3 linked regions of the Caenorhabditis elegans genome follow. The protein of the gene in region 2 purifies or fractionates together with the protein of the main gene of each other region. This does not show direct contact. Each region holds a gene or a part of one and is shown on either strand. Other genes may lie near its edges. The genes, in order: upb-1, ctsa-1.1 and dim-1.

Region 1 (10,450 bases), 1.6 Mb from region 2:
TTGAGATATTTTACGAGCGTTCTCAATGAACAAGTTGACGTTGTCAAACTTTGCAGAGAGGTTCTGAATAAAAAATATTTTGAATATCTTCTGTTTAGAAGCTCAAAATGTTACCTTAAACGGTTGAACTGGATCCACATCAGTTTCATGAAACAAAGTGAGAGGAATCATTACAAGATGCCCATCCCGTCTAGTGACACTTACAGCCAGTGGCAAATCGTTTCCGAGACTCTGAAAATAAAATAGTTTAATTCTAAAATAAAGGCCTTAAATTTCTTACAACGACATGACTTATTCCAGCAGATGCCAACTCATCTCTGTCCAATAACTCTCGATTATCCGTAATGTACATGTACTCTGCTATTTTTATGAATCCAGCCAATATCTTTGATTGATCCGTTTCTGGTTTGATATAAGGAACAATTTCTCCTTTTCCATTAATCTCACTCAAAGTTATCGCGTTTAAATCGTTTTCCATTGATTGTTCGAGGGATCTGACTTGGATCAGCTGCAAATTTCTCAACGCATTTTAATAACTTCATAAGCAGTTTTAAAAAAACCGCTGTCATTTTTTTTCTCTTACTGCATTTTTATTTTTTCATAATGTTGTACCAGTTATAGCCAAAGATTAAATTACCTACATTTGAAACGTTCCCGAGGCCTGGAATAGAGACGATTGAATTGTTTGAGCCTGTTGAATTTGTTCTGAAATTATTTTCAATGAGTACTGGCGTTTTTATCATATTTATGGGACGCGTTTAAAAATTTATTCGTCACAATTTTCAACTTTTGAACTTCACATTTATTTTTAAACACTGCCATAATTTATGCAAAAAATTACTGTGCCTCTATATCTATAATTACGGGAAGTAATCATTAGATGAGAGTTTTATTATTAGAAAAACTTAAATTATATATTGGACAATATGAAAAAAAACGAGATACGTAGAATGTTTTAGTAGAAACAAATCGAGTGAAGAATATGTTTCAAAGTGTGTTGGCATGTACATTTTCCCCCGTTGCTAAACACTTTCCATGGGAACTTTTCCTATAAAAAACGCACACAAGAGACTCACAGAAAAAGCATGGAAATTGAAAAAAACTTAAGTTATAATTTTCAAGACTATTCATGCAAATAACTTTTTAGATTGAATTGAAATTTTTAAAACCTATTGAAACAGGGTTTTACATGAAAATGAATGTCGTGTGGTTGAAACACATTTTGAACAAAACTCAAATAACTTTAGAGTGTTGATTAGATGTGCTTTAGTTTTTTGAAAATTAATTAAACAGAAGTCTAACGGTGAAAAATTATTTCTACAACACGACTACAGGCTTTTGAAGTTATATATATTCTTTCTAAACGCTGAGCAATACGTTTGTTTTTGATTATTTAAAGTTTATAAATTTGAAAAAAAAACACCAAACTATCATGAAAAATTTCTTAAAACTTACTGAGAAGAATACATAAGCGGAATAGAACTATCACCGTCAATAGGAATCGGTCCATAGCTGTTGGTTGTAGCAGAACGGGCAAAATGAGATCGACGACGAAGTGTTGATTGATTGATAACAGCAGCAGCAGAATTGAGCATCTTGCCAAAACGAAATCTTGCACGACGAGATATGCTGTCCATTATTTGAATTTAAGCAAGTTATAAATATGAAGAAAAAGAATTTAAGAAAGGGAGCTCTGTGCAGAGCATATATAAAGTAAGGCAAACTGGTAATTTGAATGAGAATTCGAGAAAAAAGAAGAATAATGCACAAAAAGTAGGAAGGAGGAGCCAAGTTGCCTCGAGCCACCAGAGATATCAAAAATGTGTTTAAGAACTTCTTAATTGTAAAGATATGAGTTTAAGAACTTCTTAATTGTAAAGATATGAATATGAATGATTTGTGAAACAACTGAAAACATCAAACAATACAAGTTGTAGTAATCAGATGGAAATTTACACTGGGGATCTGCCACAGCACCATGAAAATAGTAGTGTCTGATACTATACAAAACGGAAAAAACAAAAAAAAATTGGGTTCAATGAAACCATAATTCTAGACACCTCGATTGAATACAAAATGAATACAATAAAGTCGGAAATAAAAAGTAGCCTAATCTACAACTGTAAATTGAAAGATTTGAAATCGCTAAAAGAAAAATGAATTTCTGAATTATGGAATTATGGAAAAAAAATCTGTTGAACAAAACAAAAGTACTAAATATTCTTCATTTCCATAATAGTTAAATTTAGTTTATGAGTGAGTTAGTCACACAACATTTCAAAATCCAAATTTTTATTTCATTTTAACTGTTGCTCATTGTGAACAAATATGTCTACTTCCTTAGATTTGACAGGGCGACCTTAAAAAAGGGACGATCCGTTCTATAGACTGCGGATCTGGGAGTCAGGTACATTGCCTGGTGGTACCTCACTGGGCTATAATTCAAGTCATGCTCTAGCCTGGGACTGTAACCGGTAATCCAGTCGTGGATTACTCCACTTCCCAATAAAGACAGAGTGAACATAGATGTTTTTAAACACTAAAATCTTACGAACATCTTCATTATAAAAAATCGTATTTTTAATTGGTCAAGCCGTTCCGCTTGCTGAGTTTCTCTCAATTTTCATGAAAAACAGTCATCTTATAATAATTGATATTTTACTTAAAAATTGTAGATAAACGCATTTTTCTTGGATGAACGGCAATCAGAGTAGTCTGGTATGGGACAAAAATTAACAATACCGCATACAAAATCTCAAAATACAAAACAAAACCTTTAAAGTAGTATCTAATAGTTATTCAAAAGTAGTACGAAAATTCCAAAATAATTTTGGTTTACTGCGAACTAGGAAAAATTCTCAAGAAGAAGGGAAAATAACATGAGATGGGCGGTTATCAGAAACTAGTGATTATAATATTGGTGCCTAGTTTCTCTATATGTTGCCTCAGTAACGACAGCAAAAATATTATCACTAGAATAAATATCTTATCAAATATCTAAAGAAAACTTCTTTTAAAAAGCAAAAGAGCTGAAGTATATATCACCTAACTAGTAAGTAAGTTTATAAAGCTTCAGTCTTCCACATGATTGCTTCTTTTAAAGTTTATCAAGTACAACAAGTTGAGTCATCTCCCTCTTCTGATCTACTACTATTCACCTCATTAGTTCAAATCATGAGCTAAATTGAATTACATTTATTTACGATTCAAATAATAATCAGGTGATAGAAAACAAAGAAAAATCATCCATAAATTGAAATGTCAACAACAAAACTGATTCATTGCTCTCTTCTGATGTCTGGACGATAGTCCGGGTTGGAAACTTCCGTAATCTTTTGAGCGTACATGTCGAGACGGTTTGTCATTCTGAATCCCCAAGCATCCTTGCATTGACGACACAGATTTAAGTCGAGTTCAGCAATGAGAACTCCCTCACGAACACGAGATAATGCCTGAAAAAAATATGTATCAGATTTGTTCAAGCTATTTTTTTTTAAAAGAGAGAAACAGTTATAAAAATTTTTGAGCAGTTACTCATTGTTGAAGTTTAACCTCAATAAACTCACTGGAGTACGGCTACCATCAGGAGCAGCAATATAACTGGATCCATAAAAGTGACCGAAGTCTTTGTGCGCTGGTTGCCCATTTCCACTGGTAAATTCATTTGGGAAGACTTCAGTGCCCACGCGGTTAATTCCAACTGTGAAGACGTGATTGGCAATGGCAGCATTTCGTGCTTCGATACCCCAGAGTGGTTCACTAAATTTCCATGTTTTTAATGTTTCAATATTGAATCAACAAACCTGAGAGCACCAACTGTTGCTGATGGATTGAAGATGATCTCTGCACCGTTAAGAGCGTACATCATCCAATTTTGTGGATGATGGCGTCCGTAACAAATATTGATTCCGATACGACCGTATTTGGTTTCAAAAACTGGATGACCAAGTGTGGACTCCATATAGTATGTAGATTCATTAAAATCTCCAACTCTTGGAATATGATTCTTTCTAGATCTTCCGATAACCCGTCCAGTATGAGAAATCACAACAGCTGTATTCCAAATAACATCATCCTTTTCTTCGTCTCTTTCCAAAATTGGAGAAATAATCACAATATCATGTTTCACGGCCAATTTAGAAAGGAATTGTGTAGTTGGTCCAGTGTATACAGATTCTGCGAATTCTGTCCATGGAAGACGTTCACGAGTACAGAATGCAAATGGCATTGTCCAAGCTTCTTGAAGTCCAATAACATTAGCTCCAGCGGAAGCAGCAGCTTCAATCATTGCTCCGACACGTTGATGAATTGCATCACGTTGTTCAACGACACTGTCTGTAGTTGGACGGTGGATTTTGTTTTGAATAGCGGCAACGCGAACCTTAAAAAATGGTAATATTTTCAAATATATATAACAAACTGGGACTCTCTTTTTCTCTTTTTCCACCTAATATTTGCAGTGCTCAAAGATTAAGAATGAAAAGCTAAATACGAGAAACAGACAGAACATCTCCCATAACAATATTCTTCCTTTCTACAAAATTGGTTATCAGAAAAGTTATTTAAAACAATTTAATTTTATAATTTCTGCTCACCAGTCTTGGAGCTCTTGTTTGTTCTTTTTGAGCGTCCACAATGTATCCAGACAGTTGGAAATCACCATCTTGTGCTAGTTTTTCCGCAATAGAAGAAATTTCCAGTGCTCTGAAAATAAAGTATTTGCGAATTTTCATTATATTTTAAACAAACCTGTATGGTCTACCATAAAGAATTCTTTCGACTTCATCTAAAGAAACTCCGTCCAATTTTTCAGCCAAAGCAGTTTCAACGCCATCGAATTGAGCCGGAGCTGCAGACATTTTTACCTGAATAAGATAAAATAAATATATAAAGATATGATGTTTCTAGTGAAAATGGACAAATTGCGATAAGACAAGATAAGAAAATGAATTCACATTAAAATTGAATGAACACTATTTATTGGGCAGTATTTGACCTTAAATTTATCGGAACTTGAATGCCATTTAAAGAGAAAGTGGTGTTATCAATTGGAAAATAGAATTTAATCAAGGAAAAAGAGAAACTTTTTTTCGGCGAACACCAAATTTTTTTTCAACTTCTTATCAAGACCGAAATGATAAGATGTATCAGACCAGCAAATTTGATTCTTCTGCGAATCTTCGAGAAAACAAGAAAGAGCAAAAAAGCAAAAGTATCTGATGTTAAAGAGATCCTAACTGAATAGTTTAAAGTCTCCTGTCCTCTCAGAACGACAGCTGTCTCAACACGTGCACCCGTCAGGTCATTCAAAGATATCAATCGAGAGATAGAAAAAAGAAAACATGCAAAAAATCGAAACGTTTATCGAATTGTTTGTAAAAATGAAACAGATCTCAATCAAAAATCAATATTTCGATTATTATTTCTTGATTTTATTTGCTTCTTCAGCCAGTGTGAACCATTGAAGCAACGACCCAAGGGAATGATCTCTTGGAAGTTCGATTTTTCCTTTATTAACATTCACGACAGATTGACTAGACTTTTCCGGGAGAGGCAATGGAGTTGGAACAAGAACATCATCACTTAGTTCATTGCTATTTGTTTGTTTCTCAGAAACTTCTACAACAGGCTCCATAACCCATTCTTGAAGTAAATCACATCTTCCTTCTCGTTTCGGATATTTTCTGTAGAATGCATCCGCAAATTTCTTCGGAGCAACATCTTCCACTCTTAATCCATGAAAACACTGAAATATTTCCTTATTTTTTGGCAATTGGACAAGTACACATACATTATCAATACATGGCAATTCTGCAACATCTCGAAACATTTTCCCGGCTGCATAACTCATTGAAATGAGAATAGCTTCAAGTTCAGCACACAAGTAAGCTCTCCTCTCATCAGTCACTTGTCGTTTCGAATTTTTCACAAGATTATAGTCCGGTTCATGAGGCAACGCAAATAGTCGTTGACGCAAAGATTCGGTTCGTTGACTAGTGTTTTCATCTGAAAATAACAAGATTCTAGATGATGTTCGATTATAAAAATAGAAATAATTTCTTACATGTGAATAGTTCGGGAGCATGTCGATAAAACCGATCTGATTGATATTCGACGAAATCGAGTGTTAGCGGTCGGAATTTTACATCGACTGTTCGGTTTCTGATGACGTGGTGGAAGTCACTAAAACCAGTGTAATATTAAATTTGAATTTAATGCATAGCTTTAAAAAAGCCGAAAAAGTCCTAGTCTAGTTTACAATATGATAGGAATGTTACCTGTAACACGGTTGATTGAGAATATCTTTGAACTTGTCTCCACTGACAATTGTACCTCCATGTCTGGCTGCATACGAAACCACATACAAATCATCATAATTGATAAACGCCCTGAAAAACACGTGACTTGCCCACATTGACTTCATTCCGACTCTGACTCACTTTCGTAGTCCCCGACCACTTCTAGCCGGCGTGAATGTCACAATACCAAGTTGCTCCAATTTCTGAGAAAATCAAAAATCAGAATCCAAAAAGCCTAGAGAACAAAGATTATCTTACTGCAAGTAGTTCCGCATTTTTCGAGTTATAATTATTAACATTGTTGTAAACAACAGGCAGGAAAACAGTCACCTGAAATTTGTAATTGGGAAATTAAAGAAAACTAAAAAATTATTACGTCAAATCTACGAATAAGAAGCCATCGGACAACGGAGACGAGGCCAGCACAATCCACGTGACTGAAAAAAATACAGAAATTTGTGCGTATTATTTTTTGTAATTCATTAAAAGAACAGAGCCACGACTTAATTTCCCACGTGTCCACGGAATCTCTACCATCTACCAGACATCTACCAAGGGCATGCTTTTATTCATTTCTGGCACAATTTGCATAAATATTTGCCAATTTCTGAACCAAACTGCTGTTTTTAGATCAAACTTATGACATAAGTTGGCGTCAAAAACCAAGGTGGGGCATTAAGATTGCTTGCTCAAAAGAGCTTGCTCAAAATCATCGAAATTTTAATGAGTGGACTGAAAACAAGCAATTTTCAACAATATCAGAAGTTTGTAATGATTGGAAGCATTGAATTGAGAAAATATTCTGGACAACCCACGTTCTAGCATATCCAGAGGCACTTCTTCCAATGTTGCATCCATCAATGACAAGCGGTCTCGATATTGCCTCTTGAGTCGGTGGTTTGAAATAAGCATTTTCTTTATCGGTTTCTAAAATACTTCATTTCTCTTTTTTTCAATTTTAACCAGAAAAAAAGAATTACTGTTAGTCATCATCCAATGTACATAAGCAGTGTAAATATACGACAAGTTGATTGAAAATCGAATCGATTTGACGATCACAGGACAAAATAATGAAGATGGTGAAGATAAATAAGTAATGCATATAAAAATGAGAACAAAATTACACGTCTAAGCTAAATGATTTATCGTCACAATCAACACGAGGAGTTCTCGATGACGTGGAGGCGTTTGTGTCAAGCGAATATGTTCGAGGATTTGATTTTATTGAATTCATATTTGGTTCAATCAATGAATTCATTGATGAAGATGACGAAGATGACATGGGAATTGCTGTTGAAGAGGAAATTGATGGCTTACGGCTGAAATATATTATTCTTTGAGGTTTCGTTTGAATTTGCTGAAATATGTTTTGTTATTGTATGAAATGTTTCATTTTTAAGTTTCATCTATTAGAACGCCGGTGTGGTCAAATTCAATACGATTGTGTTGTTATTTTGCATTTATAAATAAGACTTTCGACATTTTTCATAAACGTTTCACCGCTAGAATATTATAAAAACCACCAAAAAGCCATTTTTTAGTAGTGTCTCATATTTGGCTACTAATCTGTTTTCATCTTTTCTCACCTATCGGGCTCTATTAAATCCGGTGACGCAATTCCAAAATCGTAAATCATTGAGATTGCAGGAGTATGTGGACGATTTGGAAAATCAGAATGTATGCAGTCGTCAGCACTTACTACAATCTCCGGAATGTCTGATGTGACTGTTGATATGCTGTAATTATAATTATTCATTAAAGGTTATATAAAAGCAAATAGAAAACCATTTCTGTTAATTCTTTAGTTTCCCTGATTATAACTTCTCTAAAAAATTCTGCTAATTACCTGTAATGTCCTCTTGGTCTTGTTCCATTTGGAAGTGGCTTCCATTCGCTATCTTTTCGCTTTTCTGGTCCTTTCTCTTTGTTTTTGTTCACGAGCCATGCAGTCACCTACAACTTTGAATTAATTTTTTTTCGATGTATTTTCATAAATATACCTGGGTTTTTGCTCTCATCAATCGTCTTCTTTTACGTTCCTGTATTTCTAATTCTTCTCGAATTCGCATAGCATCAAGGAGCGAATCCATCTGAAATATAGAGAACTTCATGTAGCTTAATACTGAAGTTATTAGCATTTTTTCAAAATTTCTACATTTATTAAAATTTTGTAACAAAACTTCTGATTTGACCGGGTTTTTGTTTTCAAACAACATACAAAAACCTACGGTCCTCTCTAATTTCATACAATTTCATACAGTTCGATTGTCTACTGTGAAATTCCAAACGTACCTCAACTGTTGATTGTGTTCTCCGAATTGATCGTACCATTAGGAGAATAATGACAAATGAGAACATTATTAAAATTGATATTGTATAAAGTATTCGACCGAACTCATTTTCGTACTCTCTCATTCGGATTGCAGCCTTGTCAAGTACTCTGAAAATTGCCACTTTTCATTAAGAGATTTTCATACCAAAGTTTGACTTTTTGTTTGTCTTTTTTCCCCGATTAATTGTCACAAAATATCAAAACTCACTGGGGATCACAAGCATTTTTCAAAGTGATGCATGCTTCTCGAATGCCTTCTTGGCACGTGGGACTGATATTTTTGTGCATGGAAAGATTAGAGTACTGTCAGTCAGAGTTAATAACGCCAAAAACTAATCAATTAAAACGATCAGACAGAAAGTGAAACAAATGATTAGGTCAAATGAACTTTCAGAAATATGATGAGTTGTAGTAGGTGTCACACACTAATCGATGAGAAGAAGACGACGTGGTGCACAAACGAGCCCTGGCGCCACTGCTCTCGAAGACTGCTTTCCTCCCTTGATTTTCATGCATTTCCATAGCAGCACATATTTGTGTGCGCAGATTCTGGAAGAGACGCAGACATACTCACATGTTTTTTATTATCATCGGAGAGGACATTGAATGGAAGTATAGAGTATGGAGAAAGAAGGGATTAAAGTGTTTGTGTTTGATGTATACCAAAATAAAAACTGTCGCCATCGGAAATTGCCAAAAGTTGGCTTTTACTGAGAGACTCATTTACTAATGTACTTTTCACTAGTGTGTGACAAAGTCAAAATTTGAACCGAGATCCACTTCAAGAGCCACTTAAAGAGTTCAAGACCAGTTCAAACCAGTAATGACTTTATTCACACTTTCCTGATTTGGAGAATAACGAAAAAACATCAAACTCGAAACCATTACCTACACTGTTCTACTATTTGTTCTTACATATATTCATATGTAATCACCCATCAAGTCATAGCTCTTTTTAGTGAAATGATACACCAAAAAACTATCAACTGAATAAATATTTGTATTTATATGATGTTCATTTGGTTGACTCTGCTCTACCAGAAATTATCAAAGTTTCGAAAAGAAGGGAAACTAATCAACTGATTCAGATAACTACTGGGTGGTCCATAATTATGGCGACCACTTTACGGAACTGTAACTTTTTCTTGGACAGCGATCAAAACAAGTTAATATATACATTTTATTGAATAGAAAAAATCGAACATAATGACATATAAAACTTAACATTTACCTACAGCCGCACAGACCTCAAGAAACTCAAAAACCCAGTCGACCGTGGCGCGCAAGTAGGCTCAATTTAGCTTAATTGAGATTTTTAAATGAGATTTATCCAATGATTTATTTTCATTATTATATAATAAAAGTATCCTTGTTTCTAAAAAACATTTCATGAAAATTTTTTTGTGATTGGTTACCGGTGACGGAAGTGACATTTGGTGAAAATTTATAAAGTCAAAAAAGTAAGCTCCCCCAAATTTTGTGATTTTTCTTCCTTGCCAGCCAACGATCCTTTATGCTTAAGTTGACAATGTATCCATTTTAAATTTTTAAAACTTAAAATGGCAATTTGGTTTTCAATATCTTGATATATTCCACAGAATTCACTGTAACCCAATTGGAAGCGAAAAAAAGTGATCTCAACCGCGGTGTTTGTGTAGTTTTTGGACATTTTTTTCGGATCTTTCTATAGCCCCCATCATGCCACACAAAATGCGTGTGTGGCATGATGGGGGTTATAGAAAGAAGGCAGAAAGCCTATCAGGCAGTTGACAGGCACGCGAATGTGCGAAAAATTGAAAGGAAGGAAAGCGAATTAAGC
Region 2 (10,850 bases):
CTTTTGACTTAATTTTGACATGTCAGTTTAAAGGCACACGATATTTTCCGGGTGGGTCTCGGCACGATCACGGCGTTTTTTGGTTTGATCGGTATTTCGATACCGAAAAATCCAAAAAAAAGTAGTCACTTTTGTACTCCAAACACTTTTCCTATTTTCCTAATATTCTTGTCAAAATTTTGGTTTTTAATTTTTTTTTCTAAAAACGTTCAGAATAGATACTGCACGGTGGCTGAGATCGTGACGAGACCCAAGCAGAAGAAGATCGTGTCCCTTTAAACTGGAGGCTCAAGTTTTCACGAATTTGTAAAGTAAAATTAATATTTTTTTCTATATTTCTTGATTAGCATCACAAGGAATTTGTGGTTTTTTCAATTTTGAATTTTTTTTTGAAAATTATTAAATTTTTCATATTTTCCAGCTTACATTCAAGCTTCCTGCTTCAGATGCCAACTTATCCTCGTTGATAACCCTGATCTTATCTCTGAAAACTTTATCCAATTCTTCATTGCACGAGACTAGAATCGAAGGTGTCGCATCCTTGATATAGTGAGCAGCTTCAGATTCAGTATATCCTGGATTGACTGGAATATAGAGTGCTCCGATTTGAAGACAAGCAATGTAGAGAGCAGCTGTATCGGTCGTTTTTGATACTCTAGCCATCACACGGTCTCCTTTCTGAGAAAATTTGAATTTGAAAAGTTGAATTTATACAATTTTAAAGATAAAATGACCTTTATATTGTACTTTTCAGTCAGAGCAGTTGCATATTGCCCAGTTCGTTTAACAAATTCTCCATAAGTCGTTTTGCGATCGCCATCGATAAAGAGGAGCTGGAAAATTATAAAATTATGGAAAAAACGTTCAGAAGGATATTGAATAGCAACCTTCGAAGGATCGGATTGAAGCTGAGCTTGACTGACAATATTGTTGGCTGCAGAAGAAGCGGCACGGAGCCCAATTTGTGGATGGACGGAGCTGACTAGACGACTGAGCATTTCTGAAATATCTAATTTTCTGTAATAGAAACAATGCTTTAAAATGAAAAATTCAAGAAAATTAGGCAACTTCTATTTAAAATTCAACTTTGGAAGTTTTTTTTCAAAGTTTTCGCATTCTAATTGCACAAAATATGCACAATACCGTAAATTTTCAATTTTTTATTTCAAAATGATGTTCAAAAATGCTTGATTTGGTTTTTAACCTTATTTCATCAATTTCTGCATTTTTTTTCTTTTAAAAATAATTTTTTCTACGAGTAAGAACTTTTTCAGTTTTTATCGGACTTTTCAGGTAGATTCTAAGTTTAAAACAAGGTTTTTGTTTCAAATCTGCAGTGCTTGAAAACAGGAAGCTGTAGAAAACTGAATTAAAATCGTGAATTGATCGGGTTGACCGTTTCTTATAACGAGATGTTGTTGGCCCTGCGTCTCGTATTCTCGATTTGTCATTCTTAAAAATGGCAACAAAGATAAGAGGTTGAAGGGAGAAGAAACCTTCGTCGAAATGAGTTCTTTGGTGGTGAAAACGTGATTTGTTTGATCTGAAGAACAAGCATAGAACATCATTTTTTTTGATCGAAATGAGTCATGTAATGGATATCGAGTCAGAACACAAGAAAAGGAAAAAAGGGAATCTAATAAATAATTATAATCACATTTTTCACCTAGGAACAGAAGAAAATGAAAGCGTATTATACAACAAAGGCTGAGGGATATTTTAGAAATGAGATAAAATTTAAAATTTTTAATAATAAATAAATTAAAATTGAATAATATTACACAGAAAATGTGCATTTTGGCCGAAATCGTAGTTGAACCGAACGTGATATGAGAGGAGAAGGGACAACACAGGAGAAAATATTTTCAACAAAAAAGAAAATAGAACCCATTTTTGGTGAGATTTTTGGGAAGATCCTGAACTTTTCAGACGGGGTACTTGGATTCTGGAGCAAGGCGATCGAGGACCTAAAACTTGAAATAATTGATAAAAATCCTGATTCGTTAGAACTGACCTGTCGGATTCCAGGAAGATATGTGATTGTTGAGATTCCGGGGATACTTCTGAGCAAATTGACAATTCCAGGCAGGAAACCACTGTAAATTCATTATTATTAGATTAAATTTAATTTCGTGAGCGATTAGTTCAAAATGTTTGTTACAAATCGAAGAAAAAGAGCAGAAAATTCAAGATATTGATTCTATTGCAAATATTTAGAAAACTCAACATTTTTTAGTCAAAAACTCACCCGAAAAGGACAATAAATCCCCAACACTCGGCAATCATTCCGAACAATGGGTACCCAAATAGAACTACCAAAATCCCTGAAAATAAATTTTTAAATTAAAATAATGAATTCCTTGTGATCGAACCTCCGAAGAAGAGAATGCTTCCTTTCAGTTTTCGGAATTCGAAGAAGAAAACAAGTGTTCGCTGCACGCCGATAATAAATGTGATTCCAACAATGAATAGAAGCTGAAAATAATAATTTTATGCTTTAAATTTACAATAAATACTTACATTTCCGATAGCTAAAAGAGCAGAATCAAGGAACATCAGCACTCCGAGAAATATGAAAAAGAAGCCGAACGTCGTTAACCCCACTCCGATTTCTGAAATGTTTCACAGTTTACATATATTTTCTGATTTTCAAACTTACGTTTTGTTGTGCTTACTTCGAAATTCATCATTTTGACTGGACCCAAGTGGTTTCTCTTTTAAACGGCTGAAAAAAATTAAATTCTCAAAAGAATCGGTCATAGAAAAACAAATAGAAGAAGATTATTGATTTTTTGAAATAAATTTGCGTTTCTTTTTAGCAAATGAAACTGATTTTATCTCGAATTGAAAAATTTAAGCGAAAAATCGGAAAATAAAACTGGAAATTCCGCGGAAATGACGTGTACGTAAAATTGCGGACCACGTGGCCGCCGTGCATTTCCGCGTGGCCTAGAAACTCGCACATGGCCGAAGTAGCGAAAATCGGCGGGAAAAAGGAAAATTTAAATTTGAATGGTAAACTTTTGAATTCGTAGTATTTTCGCTCAATTAATACGATTTTTATTGAGAAATTGGACAAAAAGTAACTATGTTGGTTGGAAGTGCCACAAAAGGCATTTTTGAGATTTCAAATCGATATTTTTTCGAACAAACAAGACTTTCCAATTATTTATTGACTATTTCCAAAGGTACAACGTATTAATAAGTAGAACATCAGTTTTATTAATCGAAATTACTTGAAATTTTAATCCAAACGTCATATGAGTAAACCGATTACAGTTATTTGGAAGCTTTCTGAAAAATATTTCAGTGTATTCGAAAATCACAAAATTTAAAAATCAAATTTCATTATTCAAAACTTGGAAAATTGACCAATAGATTGAAAAATAAATAAGAAGATAAAAATATTATTTGTTCTCCAAATTTAAAGTGGATGATTATTCAGGAACTGTTGAACGGCGTAGTACATTTGTGGAGCTCTCCATTGTGGAGCCATATGTCCAGCTCCGCGAATAGTGATGAAACTGAGCCCATCGAAAAGTGTCTTGAATCCGGCGATTTGTCTATCATACTTCCATGGAGTCTTTTTAAGTGTTCTACGAAGTCCAAGTTGATCAGAGAATTGCTGTCCCATCATAAAGTTGCAGGCCATATCAGTATCTCCATAGTACAAAAGAACTCTGACGTGGTTCTTGACGATCTTCTTGATGAATGGAGTCATATCGGTGTACTGCTTCTGGTAGGTAGTAGTCACCTTGTCACTGAAAATTTTTGTTTTGATCTCTGGGCTTGGGCTCTTTGGCTCAGGCTCACCTGCAGATATCCCATTTTCCAAGATTGAATGGAATGTGGATTGCCTTACGAACCTTTGGATTGTTCATATAGGAGAGCATCTCAGTATCGTTGAGGCATGGAACATCAGCCTTAAGTGGCTTTTGGGATTGAGATTTGTTCTGAAAGATACAAATATGAAGTGACTGCTATGGTGGTAATTATTGATCAAATTAAAAAAGTTTTAAATATGCAATTTGACCAAAAAAAATTCTATAACCTTTTTCCTATTTTAATTTTTTTTACTTGGATGGCAAAAAAATTGTTTGAATATAATCCTTGCAGGGTTTCGTTCACAAAACAATTTTCAAAGTTTTCAAAAAAAAAAACTGCTGATAATGATCTCATGACCGTGACACCTACCGTGACACTAGGTGAAAACTGAGTACTGAAAAATTTTCTGAAAAGTTTTCCAATGATATTTTTACATTTTCCCATTGCTGCTACCCCACATACTTTCAAAAATTGATAAAGGGAAGTCTTTGTTTGATTTTTCAAGAGCTCATCAAAATGGGCCATTGCTGGAGCAACTCCTCTCAACATGTGCTTCATTCTCTTGCTGTTCACTGATGGATTTGGATCACAATCTCTGTACAAATCATATGGATTCAATCCTCCGAACCACAAGAATTGGAAGATGTCCTCAACGAGAGTTGCACAGTGTCCGGTGACTTGAGTCAAATCACATGAATCAATGCATCCTCTGCAGCAATCTCTCTCAAGAGTATTCCAGATCTTCTCATCAATAAGTCCGTGTCCATAAGCAAATCTGACAGAGGTATCAATGTTAAGCTTCTCATTAACATATCCATTTCCAAGTGCCATTCCTTTCAAGTTAATTGGGAAGTCCTTTTGTCCATCAACAATTCTTGCGGTAAGAGTTGGAACATAAACTCCTCCATAAGACTCTCCCATAATGAATGTCTGATGATGACGGAATTGTGGGAATTCAGTGAAGAATTGTTTGACAGCTTCGTAGTTCTCAAGAGAAGTCAAATCATCGTTGGTTGTGATGTTTCCATCAGTGGCATACGAGTAACCAACTCCAGCTGGAGACTCAATATAGACAACTGAAGCCATTTTGTTCCATGAGTACTCGTTTTCACGAAGAGTCTTTCCATCTTCATTGGCAACATATGGTCCCATTTCATTGAGAAGTCCGTCCAAGGAAGAGCATCCTGGTCCTCCGTTGAACCAGAAGATCAGTGGGTCGTTGGATGGCTCGTTTTGGGATTCGACGAACCTGGAATAATGATTTAGGATGATTTATTAGACAAGCCGGTATGAAGGCAAGCTCGCATTCAAAAGATTTTCGTTGTGTAAGTTGTAAGATTTTCGTGTAAGATTTGTTGTGTAAGATTTTCGTTGTGTAAGCTTCTGAACCTATTTCACACCTTGAACACTGTTTCAAACAACCTTTCGATCGACGAAAAATTGAAAAGGTACAAGACTTTTTTTACTTTCATGCTAGTTTGCACTTTTTAGGCTAACTTCTGTCCTTCATACTCACCAATAATGAAGCACATGGTTATCCGAAACTTGGAAGAATCCGGAATAATGCTTGAAATTCGGCTCAAAGTCCAATCCTGGCAAATCCTTGATCTCTTCTCCACAGGTCACCCCGACGAAGAAGGCGAGAAGCAGAAGGGTTTTCATACCTGAAATTCAATGAATTAGAGGTTGAGCATGGAACATGACAAGAAAGAAAAACAGATATCTTGTGATGTTTGTCTGAGACATTGGAGAGAAGGAGGCGGAGTCTCGACTGTCCCATAGGGGCGGAGCCAGAAGAAGGCAAAGGACAATTTGAGGACAATGTGGATCTGTGAAGATTGGGGAGATGGTTGTGCACAAGATTTGAATTTGAAAAAAAAAAGATTTGATTTTGATAAGATAGAGATCAAACGACTAGTGCCATCGTGTACTCTATAAATTTCTGTGAGGCAGGGGAGAACCAGCTTCAGGAAATTTAAATTGTCTATTTTTTGTAGTCGTAGAGTACTAAATGTGGGCAAGTTTAAAGGTCTTTCTTAGCTTTCCTATTGGAAGCAGGTACTAGTTAGTTAGAGTCCGCTTTAAGGCAGGTAGGCAACAGGTGGAGTACGGAAATCTGACACATTTTTAGACTTGAAATGGCTCAAAACTATCGAATGTCGTAATGAGACCTTATGAAAAATTCTCAAAAAACGTTATTGCTCTGGCCTCTGAAATTTCTATTTTTGCCAACTTGCCAAAGTCAGAACAAGAAACGAAATATTTCCAGATTTTCCGATTTTTTATTAACGAAACTCTTTCAAAAAATTTTGCGGCGCAGTCAATTTTGGTTGTCTCATTTTTACCTGTTCAATAGAACATTTCTTCCAGAAACTTTTTTATCTTTTCTGATTTAAATTCTTTATTTCTCTCACGCCATGCTGAAGGAGCCAATATTACAACACGCAACGCGATCAACATTCAATAAATCAATTTATATCAAAAAGATTGTGGAGAAGAAAACGAGACAATCATTTTTGCAAAGAAATGAAGATAAGAGAAAATATTTGTGAGCAACGGCGGGTTTTTAAGCAGGCGAGTGATGGATTGGGGTCAATTGAATGAGGATCGGTAGAGGCTGGCACCGATCACTGTTGGCCACTGGTCGAGTCAATGCCAAACACCACAAAGTGAACTTCCGAGTTGGTGAGAATCACAAACTTCTGAAAAAAGAAAACATTTTAGGTGATCGCCAGGTGGCCAGAAACCATGAAAAAAAACGTTTAGAGTTGTGGATCCTGATTTCGTTTTAAAAAAATTGGGGCGTCAGTTCAAAGGCACAGGCTGTTTTCTGAGTGACTCTCGTCATGGATTGAATTTCCCTTATTTGTTCAATTGATATAGAAAGAGATTAATTGGCCAATTTTTTGTAAGACAAAACAAACGTTAAATGAAAGATAAATGTTTTTAGAATCTGGGACCGTGTTTGGCAGATTTTAAAAACCAATTTTTATATTCAAAATCTGATCTTCCATTTAACGTGTGTTTTGTATACCCAGAAATCATGTTATATGCTTATTATTTTCTTTGTTTCATACCTGAGAATATGTTAAAAGTAGTTTTGTGCAATGGTTCAGGTATGTTGTGAATAGTTGATCTCGATATTTTCTTCTAAAAAATTTTAGTACCGTGTAAACAAAGACTGCAACTGCATACCCATTAGGTTTCAATTTCCAAACTGAAACTACGCCGGCAGAAGTTAAGGAGTACAAATTCTCCTCGTCGCAAGCCACGTCTACTGTATATTCAGACGATCCAAAGCAAAGTTGATGAGATGGATTTCTGAAAAAAAACTGTTTCTTTAAAAATTGAAGCTCAATTAAATTGCATACTTTGGTTTATCTTTTTCCCAGACAAAACAAGTTTGAGAAAACTTATCAAAAATCATGAGCCGATCTTCTCCAAATTTTCCAATATCTCCAGTTGTGATAGTCTGAAAATATAATTGCTAATTTCCGCTAGAATTGCCAAAATGACTTTTTCTGTCTCATAGTTCTCGTAATCCAGTGGAGAATCTGATGTGAAGCTAGAGATAAACTTGTTCGATAGCACATAAATTCGATTTTCAATTACGAAGCTAGAAGAGATTGGATTCAGTAGTGGAGAGCACTCGAAAATTCTGAATATACATTTTTACAATATATCTCTGTTTCCCTATTAAAAACCAACTTTTCCTGATTCTCCAAAATAGTAACTTTTCCGGATCCATTCATATAACACGGACTTCCATTTAAAACAAGTAATGAGACGACATCTGCCACGTCATCATAGGTTATCATTTTCTCCAAATCATCAATTTCCATCATCAATATTTTCGATGAGGAGTAGAGCTGGAAAATGTGTACTGATAATCTTTAGAAGTATAGATACTTGCACACCATCACAAAATTATGGCTCGAATATAGGCGAACTTTTTGATGCGCAAGAAAATAATCATTTTCGATATTATGTAAGATACTTTTCTGAAATAAAGTTAATTTGATAAATTTGATAAATTTTTTGTAACTTACGAGGAGATTTTTCAAAGATCTCAGTTCAACAAAGTATCGGTTTTCTTGAGGTAAGAAAAGTAGAAGAACGAAGATATTCTGGAAATTTGGGGTGTTTTGGAAAATTTTGCTAATAAAAAGTTATTGTGAATACACTATGAGGATGTCCATTTATATTTAAAAAATCAAATCTTAAAGTTAGAGTCTGTAATGAATCTGCAAAATGCGTCAGTGTTGCATGTTCTCCCGATATTTTTTATTCGAACTTGGTGATAAAATATGGTAAAATATTTGCTTTATTTGAAAATAATTTTAATTTTATTCAAAGCAATTGAAAAATTTCTCACTTCTCAGAGACGTTTGTGAGAGAATCCACGGAATAAGGAAGACGCATGGAATTCTACAACACTTTCCAATTTTTCATTCAATAAATCAGATACAATTTCCTTATACAGAATCCTTAACCTATACATCCTTTTTCACATGGATCCGATTTCACGGGTGTGCTAAATTATTGTTACAAGAGAATCAGAGAAAAAGAAGCAATGATTGAAAAGTGAATGGAACACACATAGTCTGCGTCTAGCCTTCTTCGTATTCTGATTCTGAATCTCGACGGGAATTCCGACGGGAAACGAAACTTAGAAAGAGAGAATTACACTGCGCATCTCTCGTTTTCTATACACATTCTCTACAATTCCCTTCAACGGTTGACCATGTTCGGATAGTAGGCATTGAATATTTTTAGTTAGGAAGAAGGACAGACCTAACACTTATATATCAAAGTTTTTATATAGTCAATTTTTGCCTTAAATGTGGGTTTTAGTTTTAGATAGGCTCTTTTAGTACCCGTAATTTATCTATCAGACTTGCACCCTTGCTCTACTTTGAGAGCCTACATCTCGATTCTGTTTAGGTTTATCAAAAAATTGTCAACTGACAAAATACGTGTAAAATATTTTTCTACATTTAAACAGATTTGCATATTAGATGTAGAACAACTAAGTTGCCGAAACAAATGTTTGCTTCCTGAGGCATTATGCCCACATCGAGAGTTAACTGTATTTCCTCTGTTTCATCAGAATATTTGCCTGAAAGTAATAAGCTTTACTAGTAGAGGAAATATTAAATAACCTAACAATAAATTTAATCGACACTAGTCTAAGAATGATACGGTTTGTGAAAATCTTTCTTTTCTTTTAATGTGTCAAAATTATTTGCTTTCGCCCTCCTGTCTCCCCCTGCGGTCACTATTTTTTCTTATTCTCCCATTCCACTTTTCTCTATTTTTCCATATCTTTTTATTGTTTCTTCCATTCAATTTTAATTTTTACAGACTCCCGAACTTCACAAAATGCAATGGGTCGTCTGAAATTGGCGTTTCGAAATGTTCTCGTTCCATTATTTTTTGTCTATTTTTTCCTACACATTGGCATCACAACTTGGAAACTTTTTCAAGTGGATAGTACGAGGATTGGGTATGAGGTGAGCAATGGTTTTTGGGATTTTTTTAAAGTTTAGAAGTAAATGTGTTAGAAATTTTATTTAAAGTTTAAAAGTGATAAAAAATACAGACTAAATATACCAAATATATGTACATAGATGCTAAAAAGTTTGTAAATTTTTTTTCAGAATTTTTTAATTGATTTTTTTAAATTATAAAAATTCAAATAGCCGAATTATTTTCGATTTTCCCACGAATGAATGATCTAGTTTTTTGGTTTTTTAAAACGTTTTCTTTTTGATTTTCAGGCGCTTTTCCGTAAAGAAAAATGGTCATTCGGTCCTTGCGAGTTTTTTAAAGTTGAAAAAAAAAAATATTATAAAAATTTTGAAAAATTGTATAAAATTGTTTTACAATCATATTGGGCAAACTGTCATTTTGAGACAATTTAAATTTCACAATATTTTTCCTCAACTTTATAAGTTTCAATTTCCAGAACCTAAGAGATGGACCACTTCTCTCAAAGTCAGGGATGCACGTAAGAAAAGGAAATGTGATCGAAGCAATAGGTTATGGAAAATTGTCAGCAATCGGATTTGGTGGAGGTGGACCACTCAGAAATAAGAAGAAAAGTTTGCTAGTATTGGCATTTTTCAAAATTAAAATAAAATAAATTCCAGAACCAAAGCAGGTTCATCCAGTTCTTCGGCGAAAGGACGTGGGAGTTCCAGTGATTTCAGAGAATGTAAAAGAGGTTGGTTAATGGAAAATCCTTAAACTAATTTTGCTATTTTTCATTTAAAAAATTTTTCAGACTCTTGTCTCGGAAGGAAATAGTATTCTCAACAAGACATCTGAAAATTCCAACTTTATATATTTTGCAATGATAAACAATGCCTACGAGAGAATGACACTTAATTGGATTTGTAACACGGCTTTGATGGATGTGAGTATTAGACTGAATTTCAAATTGGAGATGGCTGGAAAGCTTATTCAAAATTTTCTGACCCAAAATTCGGTTAATACTGGATTCCCGGTTAATACAAAATTTGGTTAATACTGTTGGGATTTTAGGTCCCTTGAATAATTTGACATTTTTATGAGCCTGTTTAAATCTTTCTGAAATTAAAAAAAACTTCAGAATGTTCACAATCGGACCCTTATTGTCAGTATGGACTCATCAACGTGTGCTGCTATAAAATCGCAATGGGACGAAACTATAAAATGCGTATCTTTAAACATTGATACTTACAAAACTGGTTACGAGTGGGGAAAACAAGAATATATCAATATTCTGACTCTCCGTGCTAATTTGATGGATCTTTTGGCAACGAATAATATTCCATTTGTTCTTATTGAAGCCGATGCGACGTGGTTCAAAGATCCACTGGAATTATTTGCAAACCGAACGAATACAGAAGAAGATTTTGATATAATAGTTCCAGTGAAAGGTTATGACGGAGGAAGTTGGGATACGATGGCTTTTGATCCAATGTTGGTTGGAAGTACGAATGGATCAAAAATGTTTATAAAGGAGATGAAGGAAAGATTGA
Region 3 (11,314 bases), on a different chromosome or scaffold from region 2:
ATTTCTAAAAGTGAAAAGAATTTGAAAAACTTTTCAAAAATGAATGCTTAATCAATGTACTGGTTTCTTTCGTTTAAAATATGAAATTACGTTTTTAAACTTCAAATTCAGCAAAATTCTTACCGGTAAGCTTCAGGTTGAAGTTAGCATTTCCTTTTCCGTGTGGGTTGACAATGGCGCATCTGTATGCTCCGGCGTCAGCATCAGCAAGCTCCTAAAATTTTACGAGATTTTTTTGTTGTTTTTTTCAGTCATGATTTTGGCTAGATTCAAAATCCCTCGTTAACATAATCATTCTTATTTTAATGGTAGCACCCCTTTGCCAGTTAAAGATGATCTGTCACATAGGCATTGCAATAGAACGAGAGTGTATGTGTGTATGTGTGTAACGGAATCAACGACGACGACACTTTACACAGTGTGGGATGCAAGATTTGAGCAGATGGCATTTTGGATGAGGGGTTAGGATGTCCCCCGCGAAGTTCGTCGTTTCGGAACTAAGACAAAGAGAGATGCAAAAAATGGGGCTTACCTTGATTGTGAGGATGGCTGAGTAGCTGTCGCTTCCCTTGTTGGCAAGGTTGGCACTGAAGCGTCCAGAGTTTTCGACCTCCTTCTGTAAAAATGAATCAAATTGGATAATGTTGAGTCAGTGAGCAAACAAATGTTTCATAAGCAAAATATCTTAATATTGTAGGATGCTAGCGTCACTCACGTTATCGTAATACCACTTCACTTGTGGGGTTGGGTTGGCATCAACGAAACATTCGAGCTCCAATGAGCCATCGTCGTTTTGGCGAGCCACTGGTTGTTGTGGGAAGTGTGGGGCCTTTCCGTCTGGCATGGCTGAAAATGGGAAAACTGTATTGTGATCGACTGAGCACAAAGAAAAACAAAAATCGAAAAAGCAAAGAGAGAAAGGAATGGCGAACATTTCTTCCAGTGTTTCATTTTATTGTTTTCGTTCCGTCTAGTTTTTGTTATAAGCATTGTAACACAGTAACACAAGAAGTCTTAGAAAGAGGAATTGTAAAAACACACGAGCACATAAATATATGTCTTAAAATAGACACAGAGTTCCCCTGCGTAAAAAAAGTTGGACTGGTCAAGGCCAAGAACAAAATGTTAAGTGATAGGAGATGGACAAGGATGCCAAGTGGGTATGCGGTGAGAGTCGGAGAGGGCAGGCACATCCACGGGAGCATCCCAAGTCTCTGTACTAGCGGGACTCCGCCGCCGTTGCCGAGGCTGCATTGCCAACTCTAATCACAGTGTGACAAGAGGCGCGCTTCGGAGCGTTACACAAAAATCGGCGCCCTCCCTCCCGCTTCTCTCTTCCTACCGTGCTGTGTACTAGAGGCGAGAGGATAAAGGAGAGAAAGAAGGTCTCGGAGCAGGAGCGCGCCCCCGCGGGAGTCCAGAGCAAGTAGATATGACGGCTCAGATTGATGGACCAGAGAAAACAGAGAGACAGAGTCGAACCTATCACTATCAATGATTATCAACATGCCTTGGCTCTGTGTCTTTCTCGAAAGTTTCGGCAGGACCACTGTTGCTTCTGCTGCCTGATCACCTATCGATCCGTAAAGTTTACTGCGTGGGAGGACAGCTAGCCAGCCGACCACTGATAGTGAAAGAACACAAATATCTCACAGAAAAAGGTCCCACAGAAGAAAGAATAAAAAGTAACTAGTTAGTTCGGGGTACATTGGATAGATGTTAATAGATTTGATAAGAGATTTATGAATTTGGCAAGCTTCTCAAATACCACCCAATAAGAATATACATATACATAAACCATAACAGCTAAAAACGACAGAAAACCTATTGCACAAAACTAATTTCCCAATAAATCATCTAAAAATGTAAAACACACACATCATGATCGGGGAACATATGTTCATCCCGTGAAACTGAAACTCATGCAATCTCAACGACTTGCATGGCTGATCCAACGCATCTCGTGGAACCTATCAGAAATCTATGACTATGACGGAATGAAGAAACGTGCGATTTTGATTTTTCAAACAAAAAATGAGCGCGGGTTTAGTAGGGGAGGCAGATATGATAGAGCCGCAGTGCATTGAAAATCGAAATCGGCACTTATCTCAACAGTATCTTTTTTTAATAGCTCAAGTTGACAAACAAAGGCTCGCACCCCCATAGAGTAGGTGGATAGTGGAAGAAAAGGAACTCTCGCTTTCTCATTGACAAATAAAATTTCAGTTACCTGGCGCCACGATTCATTCAATATCATTCTCGAATCCGATCTAAACTCAATGTGATCATATCACAAAAAATACTCCTAGAGGAAAGGAAAAGCTGCAGAAGTATGTGTATACTTGAGACAGCCTTTTGTATTTTTGAGTGGTTGTGTGATTTTTTTTGAATGAACATTGATGATATCATAAAAAGCGGGATATGAAAAAAGAAAATTGAGCAAATAGCTTAAAGAATTTTGTTTGGCAAATGAAATGTACATGATGAAGTTAAATAGTTTTAGTTATTGGTAGAATTCTTACCAGGTTGATTTATATCTTTCTTACAACTACGCCGATTTGTTCTCAAAATAATCGGCAGAGACAAACAATTTCGCAAAAACACTTCAAAATTAAAAAAAAAAAGTTCCGAGAAATAGATAAAATCGTTGAGTACATGTCCTACATAGATCAATATGCAGACGACAAATAGTGTATGATCTCATCATTATCGGCTTCACACGTCCCCCCGAAGTTCTCCTTAGTTTCCATTTCCCACCCACGTTTCATCAATTTCGCCTTCGTGTTAGACGAGCAGATAAACGTAATACGAATCGCGTTGGCATATGTCGCGAAGATATTTGCTCATTTAACCGACCGAGCGGGACCTCCTCATACGCTTTGGAAAAAGAAATTTCCCTGCTAACACACACGCTAAGACCCCACAACTGTTCGAGTTGACTGTTCGGGCTTCTGCGGCTTTTACGAATGGTCCCTATCATCATCATTTGCTTGCGGAGGAGTTGGTGGCCAAGTGGAACTAGAGATAAATGAGATTTATAGCCTAGATGGAAGGTTAGAAGACTACTTTCTTAATTTTTTACGCGAGAAATGAAACGTATATATTTGATTCTACCAGTTCTCACATTTTAATTGACATTCATTTTTTAAAAATAAATTTAAACTCTACAAAATAGCATGAGACAAGAACAGTAGAGTAGCAAAAAAAACACTTTTTCTAGCGACGCTAATTGTACAACAAAAAAATTGACTGAAACCGAACACAATGTAACTGTTCAATTTTCCTTTTTCACTCTAGAGAACAGTGCAAAAAACTGGTGGTGAGCGAAAGAGTACACAAGAATGTGAAGCACAGTCCCAGAAATTTTGAAGCAGCCATCAGCACAGTCTCATTGTGTGCAATATGAAAAAGTAAACGGAAGGAAAAAAGAGTAAAAAGGACAAGATGAACAGTGCAAGTAACAAATTGTTGTGCGAGATCTCTGCGTAATGAGTTCATAGCATAAAAGAAAAGTGGTCTGGTCAAAGCGAACGAGTGCAAAGAAAACAAATAGTTACGACAAGAATACATAGAACCCCCAAACATTCATTGCAGAGATGTTCGGCAATGTCAAAATTCGGAAATGTTAAAATTGCCAACCTCTCAAGGTTTAATTATTTAATTTCAAAATATACGACTAGGCTTGTAAATTTTTGAAAATATTCAGAAAGTGTCAAAATCGTAGCTCAGTTTGGATGGAAAAAATTATTCGTTTAAGATTTGAGTTTTTGATTCGAAAAAATAGAATGCTATACCACTCAATTTATTATATATTATTTGACCTATCTATTTGTCTTATTTTCAATGAAAACTTTCTTCTATTAAAATCATACTAGAAAATATACAATTTGAGCATTCACTGGAAAATAAAGAAAAAAACCCTAAGAAAGTGATTGTATGTATAATAGTAACTTCCGAAGAATGATGCATTGATGCATAAAAACGACGGGACATTTTTATCGTGTTTCCCCCCAAAAAAAATTGTATGAAAGCAAATCCTGCGTCGTCAGTCGGCGTCACTTCAATAAATATATACGTACAAGCAGAAACCTCCCTCCCGACCAATATTGTTGACTATTCTTCACAACTTGTTGCTTTTTGCCCTCCTCTTTTCCCTATTTCTTTTCTATCAAGTACTATATTTCTATGTTTGTCGGGAAAAGAGCGCACGGTAATCTCTTGCTCATTTGTTTGTTTCTAAGATCATGGAGGCGCTGTGGTTGACACAGTGTGCAGACCATTCGATTTAATTTCCAATACTGTTTTTGTTTATTTCTTCGCTTATTGATAACTGACACAAGAACAAATAAGTACTCACCATCAAAATAGTAATCATCAAGGTCTTCACTCTCTGTCGATGTTCCAACTCTGCACTTAAATGTTTTCTCAATTTGAGTACATGTAAATTGTGAATGGACTATGTACTGTTTGCAGCGGAATTGATGTTGATTGAGATCTAAACGGGGCATTTTTGACGATCGTGGATCCTTACTCTGAAAATTACAAGCCATTATTTTTTGGGAAATTAATATTTTGGAATAGTTTTGAACACTTTTGTACGTTTTCATGTTTTCATTTTTTGCAGTTTTTGCTGTGTAAAACTTTGATATGAAACATGATCTGTTTAAGAGAAACTGTTGAGAAAATACAAGATTATACATTTTAGCTTTAAAAATTTCATGCAAAGCTGTGTAAAACACGGTGAAAAAATTTGAAAAAAAAACTGGCTGATGGGTGTTAATTCAAATAGAAATTGCCTACTTTTTTGCCAATTTATGTTTCAGTGACGATTTGAATGTTTTATTGGTTTTTAAATATGAAATGTTCTCTATAAGGAAAGTTACTAATAATTTTCCAACAATAAGAACTCTTTCAAAAATTATCTTGAAAACATATAACAACTGAAGTTTTATTTTTATTTTTTTGTTAAATCGTTATGTTTAGTAAAAACTTTACATTTTATTTTATTTTACAGTTTATTGGTTCTTCTTGGTTTTAGTTGGAAATATTATGTTTGAAATTCATAGAAAGTCGGTCATGTTTTACTTTTTCACTAACTTTTATTAATTTTTATGTCACTAAACTAACTGTTAGTTAAATTTGTAAGTTTTAAAACTCACTGGTAACAGAAGTGGCCTTTTTAACAGTTTGAGAGCCTCGGTTGCATTTGTCGTGTTGGAGGTTGACACGTCGATATTATAAGGTAATTCACTCTCTGTGGCTTTTTTACTAACATGCTGTTGCTTAGCACCTGTCCTCCCTATGAAAATTCTCTTCCTATGGTTACTCGTTGCATGCGTTGATTGCGGGGTCTTCTGATTAAAATCCGATGCGATATGAGACCTCTCATGCCTCTCTTCATCATCTGACTGCTCTCCAAATTTTTCTACCTCTTTTGTTGAAACTTTCGGTAGTTTTGTGTCAGTCCTGTCACTTAATTCTTTAGAAATATAAACTGAATTGTCATCAGGTTTCATTTTCACTGGTATTATCGTCACTTCTTTGCTCGTACTGGGCGGTAACTTTCTCAAATATTGCTGCACACTTTTGTTTGAACCATTTTTCGCAGTTAATTTTTTCTGCATTTCTTGGCGTGTTTTCATCAGTCTTAAAAAATATTCAGAATGCTTCGGTTTTTCCGTCATTCCTTTTTGTTCTGAAAAAATGAATAATAGAAACATTTTTTAACGTAATCGAACATACGATTTTGTGAAATGAATGTTGTTGGTTTACTTCTTGTACAAAGGTTTTGATTATCTGAAAAGTTAATTTTATCATATTTGAATTTTGTCTTTAAAAAAATACAAATCGTATCCATTAACACCTACTATATGATCTGGGTAAGCTGTAAATTGATGTTATCTCTCCAGGCAATGGGGTTGAAGTTCTTGGGTATTCATTTAGATCTGAAGTTGAAAAATTATAAGATAATTGACAAAAACACTTTACTTACCTTTGCTAGTGCATTTAAAATGATTATTGATTTCCAGATCGTCGAAACTTTCATCAGCCTGAGTATATATAATATTTAGCGTTTTATTCTTTTTTTTTAAAATTAATTAGAGTTATTGCTTCCTTATAAGCCAGAAATTTCTGAATCGGGAATGTACGCAATATGTCGTGGGGGTGTTTGCACAAGGATACTACTCAATAAGTGGTAACACTGCACATCTCACTGTGATTATCGGTTCTTATTAAAAGTGTAAAGACTTGTGTTAAGTGAAAACACCAAGTTATTAGAATAGCAAATATTGCATCGAAACGTTGAAATTTTACAAAAGTTTTGACACTTACCAAGATGGAGTCGGAAATTTTAAAGAATGGTGCTAACGATGCCATTCTTATGGAGTTAAACTGAAAAAATTAAGATTTGTGTTGTTAATTATAGAAAAAAGGACGAGAATTGAAATAAAGGATGAGTGAGGAAAAAAAAGCTTGATGGACGGAAAGTAAACAAAAACTGATACACAAAAAGTTAAATAAACAAAAAGTGAATGAAAAGTTTAGTAAGTAAGTAAGTATTGTAGGTAAACGGGAACAGATGACTTTGTGGTTTTCAGACAAAACAAAACTTTTAAGGCGAGTTTTTTTAACCATTGAAATAATGAAACAATAATTTGATTTGGCTTTTTGAAATCTACCTAATTGTTGTCAATAATTAAAGTCAAGTTTAACTGACTTGCAATTTTGTTTTGGTTTGAACAATTGGCATAGTTTTAGAATGTATATTGTTAAGTGAGAACTTTCATTGAAAAACCATTTTCTCATCTCTGTAATCAAAACCAACTAATTTCATAAAAGTCATAAATTGAAGGTTATCATAATTATGAATTGATCAATTTTTGAAGCACCTTCGTGATAAAACTGACCACAAAAAAACTAAATGATATCGGCGTGTACACATGTGGTGTTAGGCCTAAAATCCGATATTTTCTTTCTTTTCGATAACTATGAGATCATTGTCGGCGGTAACGGGAAGGGTGACTAGGGGTCTTTTGCAACCTGGAATTGTGGGTGACCGGCATCGAGGATGACCGACATCGTGGGCGACCGTCGCCGTGTAAAAAAAAACGCACAAAAATGTGTTTGATGAATTGGGATTAAACATAAACTGATAAACAAATAAGCTATAACATTCGAACTACTTGGAGTATTTGAATTCGCAAATGGGAACACTACTTCTGTGCATTAAAGTAAAGTTTTCAGATAAATCAAACATTATCAACAACTGAAAACATTTTCGATTTAAAACTTTTAATGCTACTTAGCTATTAACCAAAATTTGAAAAAAATTTAACTTACTTGCCGGTCCTTGTAATTTGAAAATTAGATAGTGATGTTGAAAAATGTTCAACAGCTTTTATTTTGAAATGAAATAAAAATACTAATTCTAATAAAACAAGACATTAAAAGTTTTCAAAAAAATTTAAAGGATTGGAATCGGTCGTAATAAAATCGGTTGCATTCAAATTACAATGAGAAAACAACTTTTAGAATATATCGACAAGTACAGTTGGGTAGCCAGCATGCAAAACATCCAATACTTTCATTTTTCGATAACTATGAGATTACCGTCGACGGTAACGGGAAGGGTGACTAGGGATCCTTTGCTACCTGGCATCTTTGGTGACCGGCATCGTGGGTGACCATCGCCGGGTAAGAAAAACCTTAGAAAAGGTGCTTAAAGGTTGGATGGTAAACGTAAACTAACAAACAAGTATGCCGGGACATTAAACTAAAAACTATATTATTTGAACATAAGTTCGCCGATTTTTCAGGATATTAATAAAAAATCACATACCGGAAAAAAATTCAATCAGAATTTCTAAATGAGATTTAATTATCACCAATCACTCAAGAACCGATATTGAAACATGAGTATACTTTGTAAAAAATTTTGTTGCTCCCAATTGAGAATTAAAAAACAACAATATCGACAAATACAGTTGTGCTAGCAACAATACCTAAAAATCCAATACTTTCATTTTTTCGATAACTATTAGATCACCATCGGCGGTAACGGGAAGGGTGACCAGAGGTCTTTTGCGACCCAGCATCGTGGGTGACCGTCGCCGTGCAAGCTAGAGATGCGTTGCGGAGAAGAGAATTAGACAACGCCAGAGTTCAACACTACGAGACGAAACGACATCACTATTCAATTCTAAACTGTACGTACTAGCCACCTGCCTGGAGAACCCGTTGAAAATCGACTTGATCGATATTTGGTGAAAGGGTGAAAAGTAGGAGACACGAGAGGGGGAAAGATGTCAATGAGGACAGGGGAAACGTATTTTCGAGAAAGTTGACCTTATCGACCTTGAGCACAGATGGCTCGTAATAACAAACTGAGTGCAGCCGAAGACATAATCGGAAAAAGCAGCCGATAAAAGTTATAAATACATTCATCCAGAAACACCAACTGATTTTAATAGTGGAGTAGCGCCATAGGGTAAATTGCTTAAAAAAACATTTTTATGGTGCAAAAATGATTAAATATCATAGTAACACTTATTTGAAAGTTTTGAATAGTTTTTTGTTGACAATCAAATGTTGCAATTACTGCATTTTTGCAGCTTATTGAAAACAAAATTATAGCACTGCAGAATGCTCAAATCACTGTAATGTTTGAATATGAGTATTTTAAACATAATTAGACTATTAAATTTGTAGGAATTGTTTAACTATGTTTTATTATGACTATGTTAATTGCTTCCCCTATTCCAGATATTATCATATAGTGTTCCTTTGAAATTAATATAAAATAATTATTTCAGACAACCCTGCATACATAGAATGTTATTTGGTATTGTCAATTTTTGGTTTTCTTCAAACATGTTCTTCCAGAACTACTTTTACGGTGAAATTACAACTTGTTCATTTTTCCAGAGACTCTTCATGTGGAAACATTAGTAACCTTTTTTAATGTTGATGTGCACAAACATTTTTTATCAATTTTTGCCATAATAATGCGGAACTTTGTTTAATAACATCAACAAACACAAATGATACGGATTGTTCCTGTTGTATTAAAAAATTTTATACCAGCTCTCTCTTGAATCTTGAAATTTATGACTTTCATTCCAAAAGTTACACATTGCATACGAAACCGCCACTGATAAATCTTTAACATTTATTACCCTCCACGTATCGTGTGGAGCAATTATTGCCATTTTCAGTGTGATAAAACCTTTCCTTTTTCCGGTTTACACAAAATATGAATTTAAATTATATAGTTTAGTTATTATTTTTGTTTGCAGATGAGCAAAAGCGGCTCACTACCAAGATTTGCGGACGAGTTCGAAGACGATGACGATATCGAGTTAGTAGAAGGCGCAGATTTTGGCAAGAAGTAAGTTGTTTAAAAAATTGTTTGAAAATTGTAGATTTTTATTTTAGCCTTCGAAGTTTCGGTATTCGTCTTGCTATTTCTTTGGTTTTAATTGGATGTGTAGCTGGAGCTGTGATTTGGTCTTTTGTACAGGGTTAGTTAGTGGCTTTCACTGGTATCTCCAGTCAGTAAATTTAGAAAAAAGTATTTTGAAAGATTATTGCTACTTGGAATAACACTGCTTAAAAAAGCGCCAGTGGGAAAATTGTTAAAAACAACTCCTATGGTCAAAAAGTTACCGAATATCATTATAAAACTTTTCAAAACTGTTTTGAAACTTTTTTATTTACGGTCAAAAAGTGACAATTGTTTTTGCCACTCATAATTTTGGAAGTCGATCAAAAAAACTTTTTTTCTACATTTTTTATACTATGCTTAATTATTGTTTATTCGAAACTGGATAAATTTTAACCAAATGTAATACAGTTCGCGCGCTTGCTGTAGGACCCCCTAAATTTTTGAAGTATTGAAAAACTTCGAATTTTTCGTGAAAATCTATTATGATATTTGGAATCAGGGTATCAAAAAATCTATAGTCCCATGTTTTCATGAATTTATCATTAAAATTGAAAGCGCCTGGCTAATATTTGAAAAATAAGGCCGCGCGTTTGCTATAGGACCCACGGAGATTTTTGAAAATTTTCATCAAAATTCTCGATTTTTTGAGTTTGTAAAAAAAATCATTTCTAAAACTACGTTTAATTACACTTTTAATGAAAAATAGTTCCGATTTATAACTTTTCGGAAAAATTCAAATTTTGATTTTTACTATTTTTCTCATTTTCAGACGTTTAAGCCCGAGAAGAAGCTCATGAGAAACTTTTGTGTTTCAACTTTTATCACCTGCCTTATTTTTACTTATTTTCCTTATTAATTTGCCTTATTTCGCGGAAACTTATTTTTCAAATTTTGGCCAGGCGCTTTCAATTTTAATGATAAATTCATGAAAACATGGGACTGTAGGTTTTTTGACACCCTGATTCCAAATATCATAATAGATTTTCACGAAAAATTCGAAGTTTTTCAATACTTAAAAAATTTAGAGGGTTCCTATAGCAAGCGCACGCACTGTATTACATTTCGTTAAAATTTATCCAGTTTCGAATAAACAATAATTAAGCATAGTATAAAAAATGTAGCAAGCGCGCGCACTGTACATAAAAAAAAGCATCGGGGAGAATCGAATAACACATAAAGTATGAAAGACCCGTCAGAATCCATCTTAAGTGAAGTGATATATATTTGACAGAAGAGGATAAATAATATAGAAATTTGAATGAACGAGATTTGTTGGTTTATGAGGTTGTAGGAGTCGGAACAGTTTGACAAAACTTTGACCGGAAATCATGAAAAATCTAAAATGTTTTAAAGTGTTTTGGTATGATATTCGTTTGTTTTGGATCATTATAAGGGTGTTTAAACAAAATCCCCACTGTCGCTACTCTAATTAAAAAACCCCTTTATTACTGTAAAAACACATTATTCCGGTCAGAAACGATGTCAAAAATAATTTCCCAATTGCGGGCCTTATGAAGTGAAAACAAATTTGTATAGATTATCGATCTGTAAAAAAAACTTATTTTTGTTTAAGGGGAAACTGGAACAGGTACTCCTGATATTCATCATCGCGATGCATCCAAAAATTTTTCCATTTTCATCGACCAGTATTCCCAGAAAGAAGGGCTCTATATCACGACATACCGACTTCCGGAAGGATCGAGCGATGAAGAACCAGTGAGTAGATTACAAGATGCTTTTTCAGTAAATGTTTTGTGAAGAAAGTTTGATCAGAATGTTTTCGCAAACTATTTCATCGGGCATTTTCAATACACTTGGCGATGTTTTTTAAAAAATCATACTACTAATCTAACTTACCTCACAAAATAT

The links.
Region 1: the proteins of ctsa-1.1 (region 2) and upb-1 fractionate together in Caenorhabditis elegans (co-fractionation; one large-scale study listed by BioGRID). This does not show direct contact.
Region 3: the proteins of ctsa-1.1 (region 2) and dim-1 fractionate together in Caenorhabditis elegans (co-fractionation; one large-scale study listed by BioGRID). This does not show direct contact.

The regions. Positions count from the first base shown.
Region 1 is NC_003280.10:6,285,233-6,295,682, forward strand, and holds upb-1 (Beta-ureidopropionase), read right to left. Parts: upstream 4,866-10,450; 5' UTR 4,860-4,865; coding exon 4,750-4,859; intron 4,705-4,749; coding exon 4,596-4,704; intron 4,382-4,595; coding exon 3,804-4,381; intron 3,760-3,803; coding exon 3,567-3,759; intron 3,453-3,566; coding exon 3,279-3,452; 3' UTR 3,180-3,278; downstream 1-3,179. Other genes in the region: F13H8.6 (DUF4238 domain-containing protein), read right to left, coding at 1-63, 115-231, 281-508, 642-705, 1,456-1,637; nyn-3 (RNase NYN domain-containing protein), read right to left, coding at 5,420-5,746, 5,792-6,006, 6,065-6,183, 6,279-6,389, 6,441-6,502, 6,558-6,629, 6,676-6,736, 7,115-7,226 and 1 more; mps-1 (MiRP K channel accessory Subunit), read right to left, coding at 7,420-7,618, 7,886-8,035, 8,146-8,252, 8,300-8,389, 8,592-8,739, 8,840-8,919.
Region 2 is NC_003280.10:4,732,287-4,743,136, reverse strand, and holds ctsa-1.1 (Serine carboxypeptidase ctsa-1.1), read right to left. Parts: upstream 5,490-10,850; 5' UTR 5,488-5,489; coding exon 5,342-5,487; intron 5,075-5,341; coding exon 4,288-5,074; intron 3,954-4,287; coding exon 3,814-3,953; intron 3,762-3,813; coding exon 3,425-3,761; 3' UTR 3,335-3,424; downstream 1-3,334. Other genes in the region: acs-11 (fatty Acid CoA Synthetase family), read right to left, coding at 427-678, 735-833, 888-998; eas-1 (putative Golgi transport protein 1), read right to left, coding at 1,926-1,967, 2,015-2,096, 2,249-2,324, 2,373-2,475, 2,521-2,612, 2,660-2,690; F41C3.11 (Nucleotide-diphospho-sugar transferase domain-containing protein), read left to right, coding at 9,213-9,338, 9,794-9,929, 9,978-10,051, 10,112-10,243, 10,439-10,850; F41C3.7 (WD_REPEATS_REGION domain-containing protein), read right to left, coding at 6,453-6,527, 6,903-6,975, 7,021-7,146, 7,197-7,297, 7,342-7,483, 7,534-7,694, 7,743-7,826, 7,875-7,952.
Region 3 is NC_003284.9:8,051,835-8,063,148, forward strand, and holds the start of dim-1 (Disorganized muscle protein 1), read right to left. Parts: upstream 6,387-11,314; 5' UTR 6,379-6,386; coding exon 6,334-6,378; intron 6,051-6,333; coding exon 5,993-6,050; intron 5,946-5,992; coding exon 5,868-5,945; intron 5,797-5,867; coding exon 5,743-5,796; intron 5,696-5,742; coding exon 5,160-5,695; intron 4,533-5,159; coding exon 4,358-4,532; intron 2,875-4,357; exon of another isoform or gene 2,739-2,874; intron 1,666-2,738; exon of another isoform or gene 1,320-1,665; intron 1,256-1,319; exon of another isoform or gene 1,072-1,255; intron 847-1,071; coding exon 716-846; intron 617-715; coding exon 533-616; intron 215-532; coding exon 124-214; intron 1-123. Other genes in the region: C18A11.3 (DUF4309 domain-containing protein), read left to right, coding at 9,297-9,388, 9,436-9,521, 11,019-11,161.